Linked DNA regions of Rattus norvegicus. The protein of the gene in region 3 purifies or fractionates together with the protein of the main gene of each other region. This does not show direct contact. Links are inferred from orthologs where the notes say so. Each region holds a gene or a part of one and is shown on either strand. Other genes may lie near its edges.

Region 1 (5,639 bases), on a different chromosome or scaffold from region 3:
TGAGACCCTAGTCTCAGTCCCCAGGACCACAAAAGAACGAAGAGAGAAGAGAGGGTGGGAGAGATCTAGAGCCCACAGCAGAGCTGTTCTGGCAGTTGCTCAGGAACGTGTGCCTGAACAACCAAGCACGGCAGTTTTCTCTGCTGCAGGCTTCACAGCTCTGCACAGGGGCTTACCGGCTACCACTGACTGTGACTGCCACAGTTCAGGAGGACAGCTAAGCTAGAGGGTGGTGGCTCACGCCTTTAATCGCAGCACCCGGGAGGCAAAGGCAGGTGGAATCTCTGAGTTTGAGGACAGCCTGGTCTACAGAGTGAGTTCCAAAGCACTCGCTGCTCTTGTTTCCTTCCCAGCACCCACATGGCTGCTCACACGTAACTAGGGGAGTCCAACCCTCCTCCCGGGCCCCCTATGGGCACAGAGAACAGACGTATCCAGACCAGACACCCATACTGCTTTGTATGCATTTAAGGAGGGCAGATAATGCTGACCTCTAGCCCAGATCTCCTGAATTTCGTGTTTAGAATTACCTGAGAGGGCAGGGACAGAGATACAGATGGACAGAGTAGTGGGTAGGACAGAGGGCCCTGTGTACAGTCCAGAAAACAGCAAGGTCCTTCAACAAGCCCCTTAAGTAGGACCCCCTTTCTCACCTGTATCCGCACCCCGCCACACAATACACAAAAGTCAAATTTGGCGGTCTACTTGGCAGTCAGGGCAGTCATATGCCCCAGCACTCAGAGGCCCTGTCCTAGTGCCTCTCTCTCTAAGACCCAAGGGCAGAGAAGACCACTAGAAAACATAAAAAACAAAAAGCACAGGGTTTTATTTCTAGCTCATTGGGCAGGGCTCTGCGGGACTTGGCTGGGCAGGGAGCAGGCTCTCAGCGGGCTGAGGCTGGCCTCTAGTTTACTTGCCAGCGATGAGCGGGTTCCGCAGCACCACAATGACTGAGTCCCCGCGCAGGAACATCTTGGAGATGTAGCGGTCCTTGTTGACAGGCTTGGACTTCTTCTTGCCCTTGCCGCTCTTGGGGACCTCAGTCCACATCTCCTTCACATTTTCCAGCACCATGTTGCAGTGCCTGATGGGGTAAAGGGTGGAGGAAAAAGCCAGAGTGAGGGGGACATTCTGAATGTGTGAACCCTCCAGCAGCAGGCATAGGGACGGAGTTCAGGTTCCACAGTGGGGATGGGCAGGCTTCAAGGTGTGATCTCAGCCCCATCTTAAGTGTCCCTTCTGTGCCTCAGTTTCCCCCTTCTTGAAATGGAAACAGTCTACTTCATGGGGCTGATGTGAAGATTGGATGAAAGAAGCACTTAGGACCCCGGTACACAGTAAAGGTCACCAAAATGGCCCTGGCTCTGCAGTTAACTCTAACTCTGAGAGAAGCATTAGCTCCCTCCAAACCTTAAGTTCTGGGGTTAGACATGGTTCCCAACACGTGCACTCCAGTGCCTCATGGCCCTGTCCTCATGCAGGTGGACATGTGCTCACACTTGGATCAGTTCATTCCACGAATGCTTGCTTGAGGACAGTGACGATGAGCAAAGTACAATGCCAGATGTGTAGGACCACGTCACAAGGCAACTTCCATGCTAACTAAAACAAGGCAGGAGGGTATGCTTCGCCCCTGTAATCCTAGCGCTTGGGAGATGGTAGCAAGAGGATCAGAAGCATAAGGTTAGCCTCTGCTACATCTGTAGCCAGCCCAGGCTACATAGTTAAAGACCCTGCCTCAAAACAAACTAGAAAGCAGTAGAAGATATTTGACATTGATGTCTGGCCTACAGAGGAACAAACCAAACATCTTAATTCCTGTCCCTCCTCCTGCCGGGGATCTGATGACTTCTGAAGGTATTAGACATGTCCACAGTACACAGACAGACTCACCCGCAGACAAAACGCCCAAACACATAAGATAAAAAAAAAAAAGCCAAGCACCCCCACTTTCTAATTTTTTGAGCTAGCTGGGTCTTGCCCTGTGACCCTGGCTGGCTCCAACTGACAGTGATCCCCTTGAGTGCTGAGACTAAAGGCACTTTGTCACCTTGCCCACCTTATTACGACAATTCTTCTCAAATGACCTTCCCCAAGACAATGCCCACCTGTCAAAGGCCTTCACCCGGCCCAGGAGCTTCTTGTTGTTTCGACAGTTAATGAGCACTTGCGTGTTGTTTTTGACCGACTGTGTGAGCACCGAGAGGGGACCTGTGTTGAATTCCTCCTCCTCCCGCTTCTGCAGCTCCTCTGGGGTCATCTCACTCTTGGGTTTATTGAGGAGACTCCTGGATAGAGAACCCGGGGGGTGAGACGGGTTCAGGTTGGAAGCATAAGTGACCAAAGCTACATTGTCCAGTGTCTCCCCAGCCTGGCCCCCAAATGCCCTTCCTGGTACAGTCTTCTCTGGAGGCAGGAGAGACATTTCCAAGTTAGCCTGCTCCAGCTCATTAACCAAACCTCGTCCAGCCACTGTTGACCTTGAATTCTCAATTCTCCTGACTCCATCACCCAAGGTCTGAGATTACAGGGGGCTCACCATCATGCCTGGCACCTGATTCTTTCAAACCTCACTCTGTCGTCTTATCTTGTCATCTGCTTCCATGATATGTCCAAAAATTTGGCCATTTCTCTTCCATCCCACCCCACAACAGTGTCTCCCTGTATAAATAGACCTGCCCCTGGAACTCAGACTTGTCTGTCTCTGCCTCCAGGATACTGGGGTTACATCTAGTCTGTGTGTGGCTGAGGACCAAACCCAGGGCCCACAGTAGGTAAGTACTCTGTCCACTAAGCTAAATCCCCAGCCCAAGTATTGGGCTTTCAATGCCCAATACTTCTGTGCTACCTACTGGTGTTATTTCTTTCCTACTCAATTCTCCATTCACACTCCTGATCATCTAAGACATACTGTATGTACTTGTTTATTACTCTATGGCTTTCCTATTGGATTCTTTTTATAAGCCCTGAGAGATTTTTTTTCCTTGGTAGCAAGGACCTTCTATTTACCATGTGTCTAACTTACAGTCTACATAATATCCGCTCAATGAATAAACCATTGTAGTAGCCTGCTACTCTGACAATCTCTAATTAGGTTCAAAAGTCCTAATTTATCCTGGTTAAGTCCCATACGTCTCTATTTACTATTTCTAATAGTACTTCCTTCTCCGCCAAGCTCTTCATCCATTAAGACCACTTCTATATAAAATTACTATTACTTTTGTAAGCGGACACGCTATGAAGCTGGTCAAGGCTGACCACCAACTAGCGATACTCCTGACTCAGCCTCTCTAGGCTTGGGATTCTAGGCATGTGCCATCAGACTCAGTTTTTCCTTTACGGTTCATTTCCGCAAGCCTCGGTACCTAGAAGAGTCTTACACCCATTATGGAATAAAGCTGTCCCCTCTCCGGAACTCAAGAACCGAGGCCCCATGCCCGTTCTCAAATCCCTCAGAAGACATTATTTTTGCCCGAGAAACTCTACCCTCAGCTATGAGCACCCCATTTCGATTGTTATTTAGCTAAACCGTCCCCCTCCATCTTCGTGTCCCCGCCGAAGCCCGTCCCGGCCTCACATGGTGAAGGTTTCGCTAGCAGATCACTCCCGCCTCCAAGCGCGTTGCTTTAGCCTTTGGAGCACAGCAAGAGAAGGGCGGGACTTCCGTCTCCTGCGGCTGACTTCCGTCGACGCCTGCGCAATCACGACTGTGGGCGTGCCCTGTTACCATAGTGACTCTAAGGCTACGCTCTCCTGCAGAAAATGCCTATAGGGAGGATTTGAAGCCTCTGAGGATCACAATAGGTTGTCTGCTCATGCGGAAAATAAAACGGGGTCTGACTGAAATTGTTTTCCCGCCTAACTGTCTAGTTGGGAGAAGGAAAACGCAACCCGGTTTCCAAAATACCCGCCGACAATTTTCTTGAGGGCATGGCTTCAGGCAAACCAATCGGTTCCTTGTTTTAGGGATGGATGCCGCCCCTTTTTCCTTGAACCACAGTTTCTTGATCGACTTCCGTAAGGGGCGTGGCCCCGCGCCGGGGAAGGTTTCGTATATTCGGACACAGCTCATTGCCTGTTTCTCTCCCGTGGGGGCGGGCCTTAAGGTTTCCGCGCTCCCTTTTGGGTGGTGCGGCGCTTAGGAGAGCCAATCGCAATCGATTGGGGGAGGACGCAGTTACTGTGTTTCTTTATTGGCATTTGTAACCTCCGAGAGGCGAATCTTGGCCTAAACTCAAACCACCCTGCGGGGGGATTGGTTTCAGGGCAAAGCTGCCATGAGTCCGGCCAGCCGCGGGCGGTCTCGGCAGCGGCTCGGGGATCGCGGCCTCATGAAACCACCCTCACTTTCCAAGCGCCGTCTTCTGCCGCGGGTGCAGCTCCTGCCCCTGCTGCTGCTGGCGCTGGCCCTGGGCTTGGCTTTTTATATCGTCTGGAATAGCTGGCACCCTGGGGTTGAGGAGGTATCACGGAGCCGGGATCTGCGGGTAAGCCTTGGCTGGGGCCCAGCCAGCGTCATTTCCCTCTTTCCCTTCATATTGAGTCTCGGGTTAGCGTGGCCTTATCGTTTAGCCCTTGCCGCCTGTGCTATTTCTTTATCCATCACTTGAGCGTATGCCCCTTCCCAACAAAATAAGGTTTCAGGCTTGTTTTATGATTAGACCCCTCTGAAGAGGATGCATCCGCATAGAAACACTGGTAGATCTGAGCTCTGTGCCCAAACCATTTATTTAGAAGTCTCCATCACCCGTTTGCAATTTCTTCGTCAGGACTGCAGTAGGCTGGATCAGATTTGCTTTGAAGATTTCTCCCAATCTAGGAAATCTTTGGATGCTGGAGACTGCATCACCAAGAAGAATCAGCATTCCTAGTGGGCAACCGCGTCCGGGATAAGTTGGGAATGGGATCTTTTTCATTTTTCTTTCCCCCATCCCATTTCCCAACCAAGGTCCCGCTGATCGGAAGCCTTTCAGAAGCCAAGCTGCGGCTTGTGGTAGGGCAGCTGGATCCACAGCGTCTCTGGGGAACTTTTCTGCGTCCCTTGTTGATTGTACGACCCCCAGGTAGTCCTGGCAATCTCCAAGTGAGAAAGGTAAAGGGTTTTATTTTCAACCCCCAACTTCCTTTCCCCAGTCTGTCAGGAAATGGAACTCAGGCACCAAAGATCCCAAAACAGCCAGGAGGCAGACTAGGGATCTGATGGGGGTGGGGGGCAGGGATGGGGAGTGTGTGCGTGTGTTGGGGGTGTGTGTGGGGGAGTAGTGGTGGTGGGTGAACCAGACTAGATTTCTTGGTGGTGCACAAATCCCACACTATACGACCCCCACCAAACTTTTACCCTATACTAGGCAGAAGCAATGTACTGTCTAGTGAGATCAGAACTGATATGATCTCCATTATCAGATGAGGAAACTGAAGTTATTGTATTTTGTCCAAATCCCACAGCTGGTTGAAATTAAAATCCAAGAAGGTTGGCTTCAGAATTAGTGGTATAACATTGCTTTGCTGCCATTCAGATACTGTGTTTAGGATCCACCTTAGTTGGACTAACTTCTTAACCTCTTTGGGACTCAGTTTCCTCATCTTCAAAATGGGGTCAGTGACATCGTCGATTTCATAGGGATCCTAAAAAGCACAGA
Region 2 (5,429 bases), on a different chromosome or scaffold from region 3:
CCACTTCCAATAGGTCCATCCTGTGTATAAAAATGCCTACAGGGAGTAAGAGAAGCCTGACACCCTTGGGGAAAAAGCTCCCAATTGGGAACCCTAGCTAAATGCCTAAGTGTGGCTTCCCAGGCAAGTTCTGCTGGATGTGGTGAGGCCCTGACTTGAGGATGTGTTACAGAACTCCCTTAACTTTTCTTTATTATAGTCATTCATAACACTGAGTGCAGCATTTATATATCACCATCCTCTGCACCATACAGAACACACACCCCTCCCCAAGTTCCAACTGGCTCTTGTGTTACTGGTGGTGAGTCGTATTCAAATGTAAAGTGCTGGGATGGCTGGTCTAGTTCTCTTCAACATGAGCATACACCAAGGACTCAGGAAAGGACAACATGGTGTAATGTGGAGACAAGGTGTAGTCAGACAGCCTGGGACAGGTTAGAAAAACAATAACCTCTACTTACATGGTATAAGTGATTACATCTACAAGCTACCTACACTATTCATGGGAATTTAAAGGGCTATATTCTGCCTTTTTCTGGGGGGGGGGGGCGCAGACAGGGTTTTTGTGTAGCCCTGGCTGTCCTTGAATTTGCTCTGTACAACCAGTCATAGGATTTGCCTGCCTCTGCCTCCCAGGTACTGGAATTAAAGGCATGCACCACCATGCTCAGCTGCCTTATTTTGCTTAGGTACTCCAGCATCTTCAATTAGTCCAGTGAGACTATACTCTACTCATTTCTATTCTGTCACAAGAGAAACAATGCCTTGTTGCTAGTAGTGTTCTAAGAACAGGGTTAAACTTGCTTATAGCCTTATTTACAAAGCCCTCAATGAACCCTGCTCAGGGAACAGAGCCTTGTCTACAAACCCTCACTGAACCTTGCTCAGGGAACGAAGCTACTTATACATTTCCTCTGCACACCACACAGACAAGAAACACAAACATAAGCTCAGCAACCAATTCACTACCTGACACCATTCTTTTTACTTAAAGCTGGTGTCACCTATAACTATCCCTAACACAACTTGGCCACCACAACTACCTAAACTGTCCTTTACCACAGAGGATTTAAGAGAACCAAGTTGGGCAAGTAATCCTATTACCTAAGAGTTTGGCTGAGGCAGGAGGACTGCTGTGAGTTTGAGGCCTGGACTACATAATGAGCACAAGACGGGCCTAGGCCACAGAACAAAACTACCCCAGTAGCAGCTACACCCCACATCCCTGCCCAACGAGAACTACTGTGTGGTGGGTGTAATGTCTGCACTCAGAAAGCTGAAGCAGGAGGATCTTCAGTTCCAGGCCATTTTGAGACACACTGACACTTATGTTTTTGAGGAAGACAAAGATAGGCAGAACCACTGAGTGCCTCCTACACCCCGCCTATGTCCTCGTTAGTACACAGACATAGGATCTTGTATGTGACTAAGAATAAAAAAGACCTGCCAAGACGACTCAGCAGGGATCCTGGCTAACTTTATGTCAGTCCGACACAAACCAGGGTCATTTTAAAAGAGGAAAGCTCAACTGAGAAAGACCCACTAGATTGACCAGTGGCACATTTTCTTGATAAATGACAGGGAAGAGCCCAGCCCATCGGGGGCAGTGCTACTCATGGCTGGTGGTACTGGAGGCTGTAAGAAAGCAGGCGGAGCAAACCATAAGGGAGAAAGCCAGTAAGCAGTGATCTGCCATGGCCTTTGCTTCAGTTCCTGCCACAACTTCACTGGATGACAGACTGGAACCTGGAGTTGTAAACTTTTTCCCTTTCTGAAGCTGCTTTTAATCATATTATATCATCAATAAGAAACCCGAGGGGTTGGGGATTTGGCTCAGTGGTAGAGCGCTTGCTTAGCAAGCGTAAGGCCCTGAGTTTGGTCCTCAGCTCCAAAAAAAAAAACTATCTGAGACAGCAGGGAAACATACTTGCCAAGCCTAACAATTTGCATCCAACCACCCAGACCAGAGTATAAAGGGAGAATGGACTTCCACAGGTTGTCCTCTGATGGCTACACATGCACATGCCCATACACTCACTGGACCAGAGAAAAGTTCTCCAAACTTGGTACTTATAAAGACTTGTTTCTCTTCATCTGCCCTGGATTCAGAGTAACAACTCTTTATCAGGCCATACTGAGTTTGGCTCACAATCTCCAAGAAATTACCTAAATAACTAGCTGAACATTGCAATCTCCACAGATCAGAACAGATGGCCACGGGTGGCGAAATGGTTCAAAGTAAAGGAAGAAAGACCAGGTGGGAAGCCCGCCTATACTCACATCCTTCTCCTGAATGGTGCACTCTTTACAATAGTAGGCATCAGAGACTCCGGGACCTCCACAGATCACGCAGCGGCCCTGGTAGGATCCATAGTTACACTCATCACATATGCGAACCAGGGTACAGGGACGCACGTAGGAATCGCAGATCACACATTTGCCATCACCTGCAGAGACAGAACTGGGTTACAGTCAACAGCAATTACTTCCCTAAGATCTTTCCTCTGCCCTACGAGGGAAATAACTGTGACTTTAGGACCTTCTTCTATCTCGACAGCATAAGCCTTATCTTGTATTCACCTCAGTTAACTAATGCATGCAAAGCGTTTGGAATATTGTCTGGGAGCTTTTAAATCTATGTAGTTGTTGTCAACAAACTGCATGTCCTTTTTGCACACACATTGGGCTGGGAAGGTCCCCATTACTCTGACAAATCTTACTGTCCAAAAGTAGACTCTTTTTTTCCCTAAAACCTAAATATGAAGTATTAAAAATTGCAAGCTTAAGTGGGAAGATGGTGGTGGTGGGGGGAGGTCTTTGGCTGCAGCCAGGTATTCTGTGTTCTTTGCAGCCTGGTATATCCATTTAAGGCTTTTTTTGTGTTCCTCTGGAATTGATGGCTCTTCAAAGAGTATAGAGGCAAGGTGTGATGGGGCATGTTCCGCTTACATTTTTCACACAGTCTTCCGATAGCTGTAAGATTAAAGATGGTAAAACATGTTGTTAAAATTAAGGTTGTGACGTATCAGGAAAGTTTTCTGTCAAGCTGAGTACAGAGAATGGGGCAGGTAGCAATGACTAAAGCGAGGCGTAAAGGATCGCCGTCTTATTCTCCTTTCTCCATTGTCCCCGACCCTATACTTTTTTGACACAGAATCCCACTGTGTAGCTTGAGTCAGCCTGGAACTTCTTTTAAGCTCAGGCCAGTTTCGAATTGACAGCAATCTTCCAGCCTTCTGCCTCCCTGGTGCTGGGATTATGAGCTACCATTCCAGGCCAGTGCCCCTAAATTATGCTTTACACCAAAGCCATGTCAAAAAAAAAAAAGCTGTCCGGAAACCCCCCTAAAATCCAAAGCAATCTAGAACGGCTTCTCCAGACTTGGCACAGACGCTCCCGTCTGCCTCAGGCTCGGAGACGCGCGTTCCTAACCTCTTATAAGAAGCCACAACTGGGTGCGCGCTTCTAGAATACCCAGGGACCGTAAGGCGCGAAACGTGGAGCCTCCAAACCAAAGCCCTAAAGAGAAGGTGAAAGTCCCAAGTCCCCCACTTTCTAATACCATCCCACCCAAACAAAAGGGGGCAGGCCTCCAACTCACCTACACCAGCCTGCTTGCGGCAGAAAATCAAATCTGGATGATGTTTAGCCATAACTCTTTTCCAAGCCCGCGGCCGGAAGCGTAGGGAACTTCCGCCCGACCTTTAACCTACACCGTTCCTACTTCCACTCCTCTGTGATTGGCCATCAAGCTGTCCGTCAGCCTTTGTCCTCGAGGGCACCAAATCTCGCTGACTCTCGTGAGAGTTTCCTCGCCAGGCCCTAGCAGGTGCACCAAAGGTTTTGAATAAAATTCTTTTTTCTTCTAGATTTGAACTCATAAACTAAAATTTGTTCTTGGATAAAAAAAATCCTACATATGTTGCTTCTTGTGTTGGAGTTTGAGGCCAGGGCTTCTTGCATGCTTCCTCAAAGTATGTGGGTTTGGGAGTGTTGTCTTTCATGGAGTGAACGATGACCTTGAACTCCTGACTCCGCTTTAGCTTCCACTACCCAAGTGCAAAGGTGACAGCATTGCGCCGAACGCCAAGCTGGCAGTTCCTCCGCAGCTTTTCCTGCCACGCCCGGTTCTTGTCATGTAAGCCCCGCCCACTGAGCTCTCTGGACTCTGGCCTAGGGAGGAAGGCCCCACCACCAGGGTGACGCGTCTCTCTATCAGCCACGCCCCCTTCCCAATGCTTTAAGAGCGCCAGCTGTCACGTCACTTTCACGCGACCTCATCTTTGTCAGTGCACAAAATGGCGCCTTACAGCCTACTGGTCACCCGGCTGCAGGTGAGCGAGCTCAGAGTTGTGGGTTTACGGGGGCGGGGAGCCTCCTGCCTTGCCTGCGGCTGTAGGCGAGGTCAGGCGAGGCGGGCTCGACCGGGGCTGAGTTTTCGATCACCTGTCGCGGTTGCAGGCCCAGCGCCCTTGTCCGTTCTTGCCTTGTCCTAGGTCAAGGCGTCCCTGGCACAGTCAGTTCCAAGTCCCTGTCCCCGCCCGCTGGGAAGCTTGAGTCTAAGCAGCTGCAGCCTGGTCAAGGGCGGAGGCACTCCTTGTTTTCTAAGGGCTGAATTCTCTGCTCCCCCAGGGTGGTTTTCTGTTCCTCAAGGTGAAGACAAGGTGATTGGGGGACGCGGTGGTTGTGGGTTCCTCTAAGCCGAGTTCTTGAAGCCTTCACGTCTCATCTGTAGCATAGACTTGCTCGCCTTATGTATCCGTGGTTTCCGGGCCTGGAGTCTGCAGCAGCTATATCCCATATATCCCTTCGAGGACACTCGGGGTCATAGATGCAAGAAGGAGTATTCTGGGCCCCACCATTAATAAATAGTCGCGATAACAGTGCCTTCTTACCTTTACACTAGATGTCAAGACTGTTTACTAATGTTACAGTATGTGATCAGAAGTCATAGAGTCAGATAACTTTTTTTCCAACTCGATAGATGGAAAAGCTGGGAAAAAAATAGACGAAGTAGTGGCTTTCATGCTGTCACTAAAGTGTCATAGCCTGAGCTTTGACGCTGCAGGCCCTCTCTTCTTCTTGTTCATGGCAGCCTAATGTCACAAAACTTTCTGAACCAGGGTGTGATCGTTTGCATTTGTCAGAATACAGAATCAAGTGTTTTGAGGTCACAGTTAGTTGCTTTCCAGATACTAGGCAGAAAGACGAGAAGACTGAACAGTTTGACCTTGACTGTTAGGAGACATCTAGAAAATTGACTATGCCTGTCAGATGGTTTTCCACTCCTAGCCTGACAGCTCTAGGAAGGTATAAGGTTAAGTTTAAAGTGTGTATTTTTCTCAATAAAAAGAAAGCAATAAAATACTTGTAGACATTTTTCTGGCAACATTTTATGATTACTTTTGTGAATTTGCTTTGGACCAACA
Region 3 (5,711 bases):
GCAGTACTGCCTCCTAAGCCATGGGTCTCTACACATCAGGGAACGCTTAAAAAGACATGCAAAGGCAGATGTACTTATTCCAAGAAATTCCAGCGCTCTAAGTTGGCTTCCTGTTAATTTTAGAATTAGCTCCTCCAACACAAGAAACAGATTTCAGCAGAAGAGCCTGACTGTCATGTAGTCCAGCTGGCAGAGCCTTTTGAAGGTAATTTCATCTACAGAGAAAATGCTCCTTTTACTCGGTCAGACTTGGCTGCAGACACCCACTGCCTGCCTCCTGAGCATGTGGCCTAGCAGAGACCTGAATACCGGCTCTCTCCAAGACCAAGATTGTGACCTGTCCCTTCACTGTAAAGCATGAGAAGGTAGGGGAAGAACATGCACATGTTTATGGTCAGGTCACGTGGAGACCAGAGGCCAACACTGAGTAAGTACCCTCCTCTATCACTGTCATTCTCATTCTTTGATGCAGGGTCTTGCACTGAACCTGGAGCTCACCACTATGGTTATGTTAGCAAGCCGGCCAATCAGCAAGCTCTGAGGAGTGGCCTACCTTTACTTGTGTTGCAAACATTACCCCATTGAGCCATCTCAAGGTCAGATTTCAGAATTCCTACAAAAATGATCACCAAGGATAAAAACCCATCTGGAAACATGGTGAGATGTTTACACTACTAGAAACAGAACTCATGTCCTATACATGGAGACATATACTCACTCTACCACTAAGCTACACAATCAACCCATTTATTTTTTTTCAGCCTTGATAAAAAACTCACAAGCCTAGGCTGGCCTTAAACTCACACATTATGGAACTTGAAGGTATCCACTTCATTTTCCTTTTCTTAAAAAAAAAAAAAAAAGAAAATTGACTCTGTGTGCACGAGTGCATATTAAAGGGCATGCATGCAGGTATTCAGACTCTGTAGCTGTGAGTTACCTGACATGGGTCCTGGGAGCCAAACTCAGGTCCTATGTAGGAGCAGAAAGTGGTCTTAACTTCTGAGCCACTTCTCCAGCTCCCATTTCCCTTCATTAAAATAGAGCCCACCATGTAGCCAGGCTAGTCTCTCTAACATTCCTTGCTAGCACCAAGATTACAGGTATGTATCACTATGTCCAGTAACAAGTATTTATTTTTAAGAGAACTTGGTCAGTCTTTTTTTTTTTTTTTTTGCTGTGGAGGCAAAGGATGACACAATTATCAGAAAGCTACTTGGGAAACTGAGATGTTTCTAAGTGCACACTTATGTGCACCCATACCCAGAGGCCAGATACTCATGTCCATTGTCTTCCCCAATCACTTCCTGCCTTATTTAGATTTATCTACCTATTTATTTTAGATAGGGTCCATGCATCCCTGGCTCATCAGAATGCTGTGTAGACTAGGGTGGCCCGAAACGCACAGAGATCAACCTGCTCCTGCCTTCAGAATACATGAATACACTGGCCCCACCTTAGTTAATATGAAGCACAGCAATTTGCTGGCCACTGAGCTCCAGGAATCTGTCAGTCTCTATTCTCCAGTACTGAGGTTACCAGATGTAACCATTGCTCAATCTTGCTTTAACATGGGTATCTGTGGGTTATACACCATGGGATCCAAACTCAAGCTCTTGTTTACTCTTGTGACAGGAACTTGAATGAACTAAGCTGTCTCCCCAACCCCTGAAGCTTTCCATGTTCTCCTAATCACTATTGTTTCAGTTTTCTTCTAAAGAAACTATCTAAGAGGGAAAGGTAATGTTCAAACTCCTCGTACAGCTTCACTGACCAAGTGGAAACACTGGAAACAGTCTCAAAGAGAAGACAGCCTGGACACCCTGCACCCTCGCCATAGAAAGCATACAGCAGGAGGAAAAGGTAATTAGGAAATGTTTACAGTTTAGCATGCAAAGAGAATGGGGACATGACAGTACTTGTGTTATTACCGTATTTAAAAACGGGTGCCAAGGGCAAAGGACTAATGAACGGTGAACGGTGACAACAGCGGGCAGGAGTTGCCCTCACAGTAAGACTGCACTTATTCCTTATGCATTATTATTAGGAAAAGGGTTGCTGTGAAATACTAGCCAATCACACACAACACTCAATGCCCTATCTTAGGGCATCTTTTAAGTGAAAATCCAAGGTAATTAAAGCCTGTCCAGTGATGGGAAAATATATCAATCGGAATCTTTATTAGAGAGGTGCTTCACTTTATTAGGAAGTTTGGAACCAAACATTGCAGTCTGGTTCAAGAAAAGACAGAAATCCAGACTGCTGGTGAGATCACCTCATTTTTAAGTGTGGCAATAGGATTTTTCTTTTTTAAGGATTCTAAGGACAAACCAAACTCTGCAGACTGGATATCGATGCTGGTTGCCAAAAGAATACTCTCTCTCTATAAATGCCCTAAGTCAGGGGACGTGTTGACCGTTGGGAGTCAAGTGGTCCTCAGAAAATAGCATCCAAGGATGTAGAAGTGTGTGGGATGAAGAGGCTGAGAGAAATCCTGACCAGTTTTAACAGCTTGCTCTTAGCTCATCTGTAACCGATCATTTGAGTCTCTGTGGAAAGTAGCCCTTTCACAATGAGAAAAATCAACTCATTTCCTCAGGCCAGCAGCTCAAACACACAGCATACACACAGTATCAGTCACAAAGGTGCTACCAGGAATTCCTCAGATTTGTTTTGGAAGCAGAAATATACAGCTAGATGGGGCTTTCACTGTGATTACTATCATGGTATGTCAATGATACCAGTCCTGTCTATCGCCTACCTCACTGCTCTACTGTGGTTTTGGAAGCCTAAGCTAGAGCCTCTAAAACACCCCATGGTGCCCGATTCAAAAGCCCTTTATACTACAATTCCCCTGACCCACTGTGCAGCAGCAGCTGTTACCTGGCCACAAAACTGGCGGTCTTGTCGACGATATTCCTGACCTCTGGAGGAGGGTAAATAATCCCCACCACTGGCTTGGAAGGGGTGGAATCCTCCTTTGATGATGCTTCTTCTTCATTTGGCTGTGAAAACAGAAAAAGGGAGTAAGGTCTTCAAGTCCCTGGCTTGGATTAGGAGATCATAAAAACTACACCAGCCCTCAGCGTTTCTCCATGATACCACTGACAGGACTGTGTCCTGCAGACTGCAGACTCTCTTGGGTTAGCATCCAAGAAGCTAGCATTGGGAAGCAGTTAAAAACAAAGCAAGCTTTCTTAACCATACGGTATTTATACAACCATTCCTAATCTAGGGAAAAGAATGGCTTTCTTGGCTCTCCTCCTTAGAATGGAGGTTTCGTGGTTCAAATAAGCCCCCAGGGGAAGCCGAGGCTCAAGTCCGCAGGCTAGTTTTGAAAAGTCCGGTTTAGGGAAATCTTTTTGAGACCAGAAGGCAACGCGGCGCGCTGACTCCTGGGACTTGCAGTCCCACCAAGTCCTTCAGGGTGGCCTGTGCTTCCAGCAGAAGTGCCACAGCGCCCGCGCGGGAGTGGAGGAACGAGGCCTACAACAGGACTGCAGGCGGAGGAGCACGGGGCACGGTACCTGTTTGGGCTCAGTGACTACTGGCGGCGGCGGGGGTACCGCCTGCACGGGTCCGGCCTGCATGACTGCGACGCTCAGGGCTGCCAGTCCGCCTCGGTGTGGACAACCGGTACGGCGACAAGGTTAAGCTCACCACACGAAGTCTCCAACTCAATGGCAAGATGGCGACGACCCAGAGAAAAGCCGCGGAGGCACTTCCGGCCCCGCCCCCTCGCCGTGTCTCACTTCCAGCCCCGCCCCGCGTGCACGATGGCACGGTACGCCGTTGCTATGGCAGCGTCCTGGGCGCCCTGCTTTAGAGTTTCGAGGGATCCCTGGAGCCGCAGGCGCTCCGGAGGAAGTTCTGTGAGCTTGCCAGACACAGAGCTGAGGCTGCGACGCCGGAGACAGGTAAGCCATTCTACATCATTTGCTGAACTCCCCTCCCGACCCTGGCCGGTTCCTCTGTAACCCCAGCAACCCCCCTAACCCCTACACCCCGAACCCCTGCCTTCGTTTTGTTTTCTGTTTGGCCTGTCATTTTGAAGAATTCTTCTCCCATTAGACCCGTTGCCATAAAGCCCCACTTAACTACACCTTTAGACCTGTTTTTCGGTTCAGCATTACCTCCTCCTGATACCTCCTTGCAGAGCCCAGGACATGGTGCTAACATTTTTTAGTCTCAGGAGACAAAGCTATACAGATCTCTGAGTTCAAGGTCAATCTACTGAGCAAATTGCAGGACAGTCAAGGGTAGGCAGTGAGGGAGTTGAAAAACAGAAAGCTGGTAATAGAATAAAGGGCGGCCAGCCCCAGCAGGCAGCAGAATTCAACAGCTTTACCACATGGCCTTAACTTTAGAGTCAAGAATAGAAGGGGTTACTGGGACAATTGATGCTTCTTATCTGGAGCTAAGAAATTAGTAGGGATTAAGAAGAGACCAGAATCACTGAGGTGAAATCTTCTGGGAAGTGTTTTCTGAGAGCACAAAGAAGCTGTACTTAATAATGTGTAAGAGTCATCCAGGGTACTACTGGTTTTGAAGACGTGAAGGGGTCATGAAGAGCAGCTGAGGCTTGGCACTGTGAGAGCCAAGGAAGGCCATTGGTGAAGATGCAGTTACAGTTGATGGCCCAGGACTGAGGAAGTCATCCAAAGTAGTTGAGGCTTGAGACCATGAGGAGAGCCTATGAGAGGCTATTGGTGAAGCCTAGTTGCTATGGAAGACTCCAGTATATTGGAGATGCCAGTACCATGGGCTGGTCACCAGGAACAGCAGCAGCAGGGGAGTGGAGTCAACCAGAGCCTAGAGTGCTACGGAGGGCAGAGCTGGAGAGGTGACCCGAGCCCTTTGGAGGAGCCCAGAAGATGTTCTGTGGACCCCATACATTGGAATAAGAAGCTGTAAAGTTGAAGTTGCCTTGGAGACCCCAAGCTGTTAGAGATGCCAGAGTCCTTTTCTCAGTTACCTGCTGAGAAAAGCTGCTAACAGTGGAACCAGCCCAAGAGAATGAAGTGTGCTGCCATTGAGGGCCACATGGGCCAACAGCACTCAACAAGGGTGAAAGGAGCTAGAGATCTGAAGGATGCTCTGGCATTGGACCTGGAGACATGGGTTTTGGAGTTTGCCCAACTGGTTTTCTATCTTGCTTCGGTCCAGTATTTTTTACTTTATATGGGATTACAGTTAAAAAAACCTGCTTGAATCTTAGAAGAAACTTTGAACTTTGGACCTTTCTTTTTTTAACATGGTTGAGAGTGCTGTACAGTATAGGGACTCTTGATGTTGGACTAAATGTATTTTGCATTATGCTATATTTAGGTATGGTTCCCATATGTTTGAACAAGCCTATGGGAGTCAGGGAGTGGAATGTGATGGTTTGTATATGCTTTGCCCAGGGAGTGGCACTATTAGGAAGTGTGTGTGGCCTTGTTGGATGGAGTAGGTGTTGCCTTGTTAGAGTAGGTGTGCCACTGTGGGCATGGGCTTTAATGCCTTCCTTCTGGCTGCTTGGGAGCCAGTCTTCTGCTAGCTGCCTTTGGAAAAAGAAATGGAACTCTAAGCTCCTCCGGCCCCATGCCTTCCTAGACTCGGCCATGCTCCTGCTTTGATGATAATGGACTGAACCTCTGAACCTGTAAGCCAGCCCCAATTAAATGTCATCCTTATAAGAGTTGCCTTGGTCATGTTTTCTGTTCACAGTA

What was found.
Region 1: the proteins of Sf3a1 (region 3) and Snrpd2 fractionate together in Homo sapiens (co-fractionation; 3 studies listed by BioGRID and IntAct, with this or other methods). This does not show direct contact. The link is inferred for Rattus norvegicus from reciprocal best matches to the Homo sapiens genes SF3A1 and SNRPD2.
Region 2: the proteins of Sf3a1 (region 3) and Phf5a purify together in Homo sapiens (affinity purification with mass spectrometry; 3 studies listed by BioGRID and IntAct, with this or other methods). This does not show direct contact. The link is inferred for Rattus norvegicus from reciprocal best matches to the Homo sapiens genes SF3A1 and PHF5A.

The regions. Positions count from the first base shown.
Region 1 is NC_086019.1:87,924,423-87,930,061, reverse strand, and holds Snrpd2 (small nuclear ribonucleoprotein Sm D2), read right to left. Parts: upstream 3,654-5,639; 5' UTR 3,580-3,653; coding exon 3,578-3,579; intron 2,289-3,577; coding exon 2,109-2,288; intron 1,085-2,108; coding exon 910-1,084; 3' UTR 803-909; downstream 1-802. Other genes in the region: Qpctl (glutaminyl-peptide cyclotransferase-like protein), read left to right, coding at 4,278-4,487, 4,949-5,092. UniProt on the Homo sapiens protein: Plays a role in pre-mRNA splicing as a core component of the spliceosomal U1, U2, U4 and U5 small nuclear ribonucleoproteins (snRNPs), the building blocks of the spliceosome.
Region 2 is NC_086025.1:115,261,522-115,266,950, forward strand, and holds the start of Phf5a (PHD finger-like domain-containing protein 5A), read right to left. Parts: upstream 3,654-5,429; coding exon 3,602-3,653; intron 2,974-3,601; coding exon 2,950-2,973; intron 2,448-2,949; coding exon 2,281-2,447; intron 1-2,280. Other genes in the region: Aco2 (aconitate hydratase, mitochondrial precursor), read left to right, coding at 4,299-4,334.
Region 3 is NC_086032.1:83,252,982-83,258,692, reverse strand, and holds the start of Sf3a1 (splicing factor 3A subunit 1), read right to left. Parts: upstream 3,681-5,711; 5' UTR 3,591-3,680; coding exon 3,528-3,590; intron 3,006-3,527; coding exon 2,884-3,005; intron 1-2,883. Other genes in the region: Ccdc157 (coiled-coil domain-containing protein 157), read left to right, coding at 3,681-3,917. UniProt on the Homo sapiens protein: Component of the 17S U2 SnRNP complex of the spliceosome, a large ribonucleoprotein complex that removes introns from transcribed pre-mRNAs.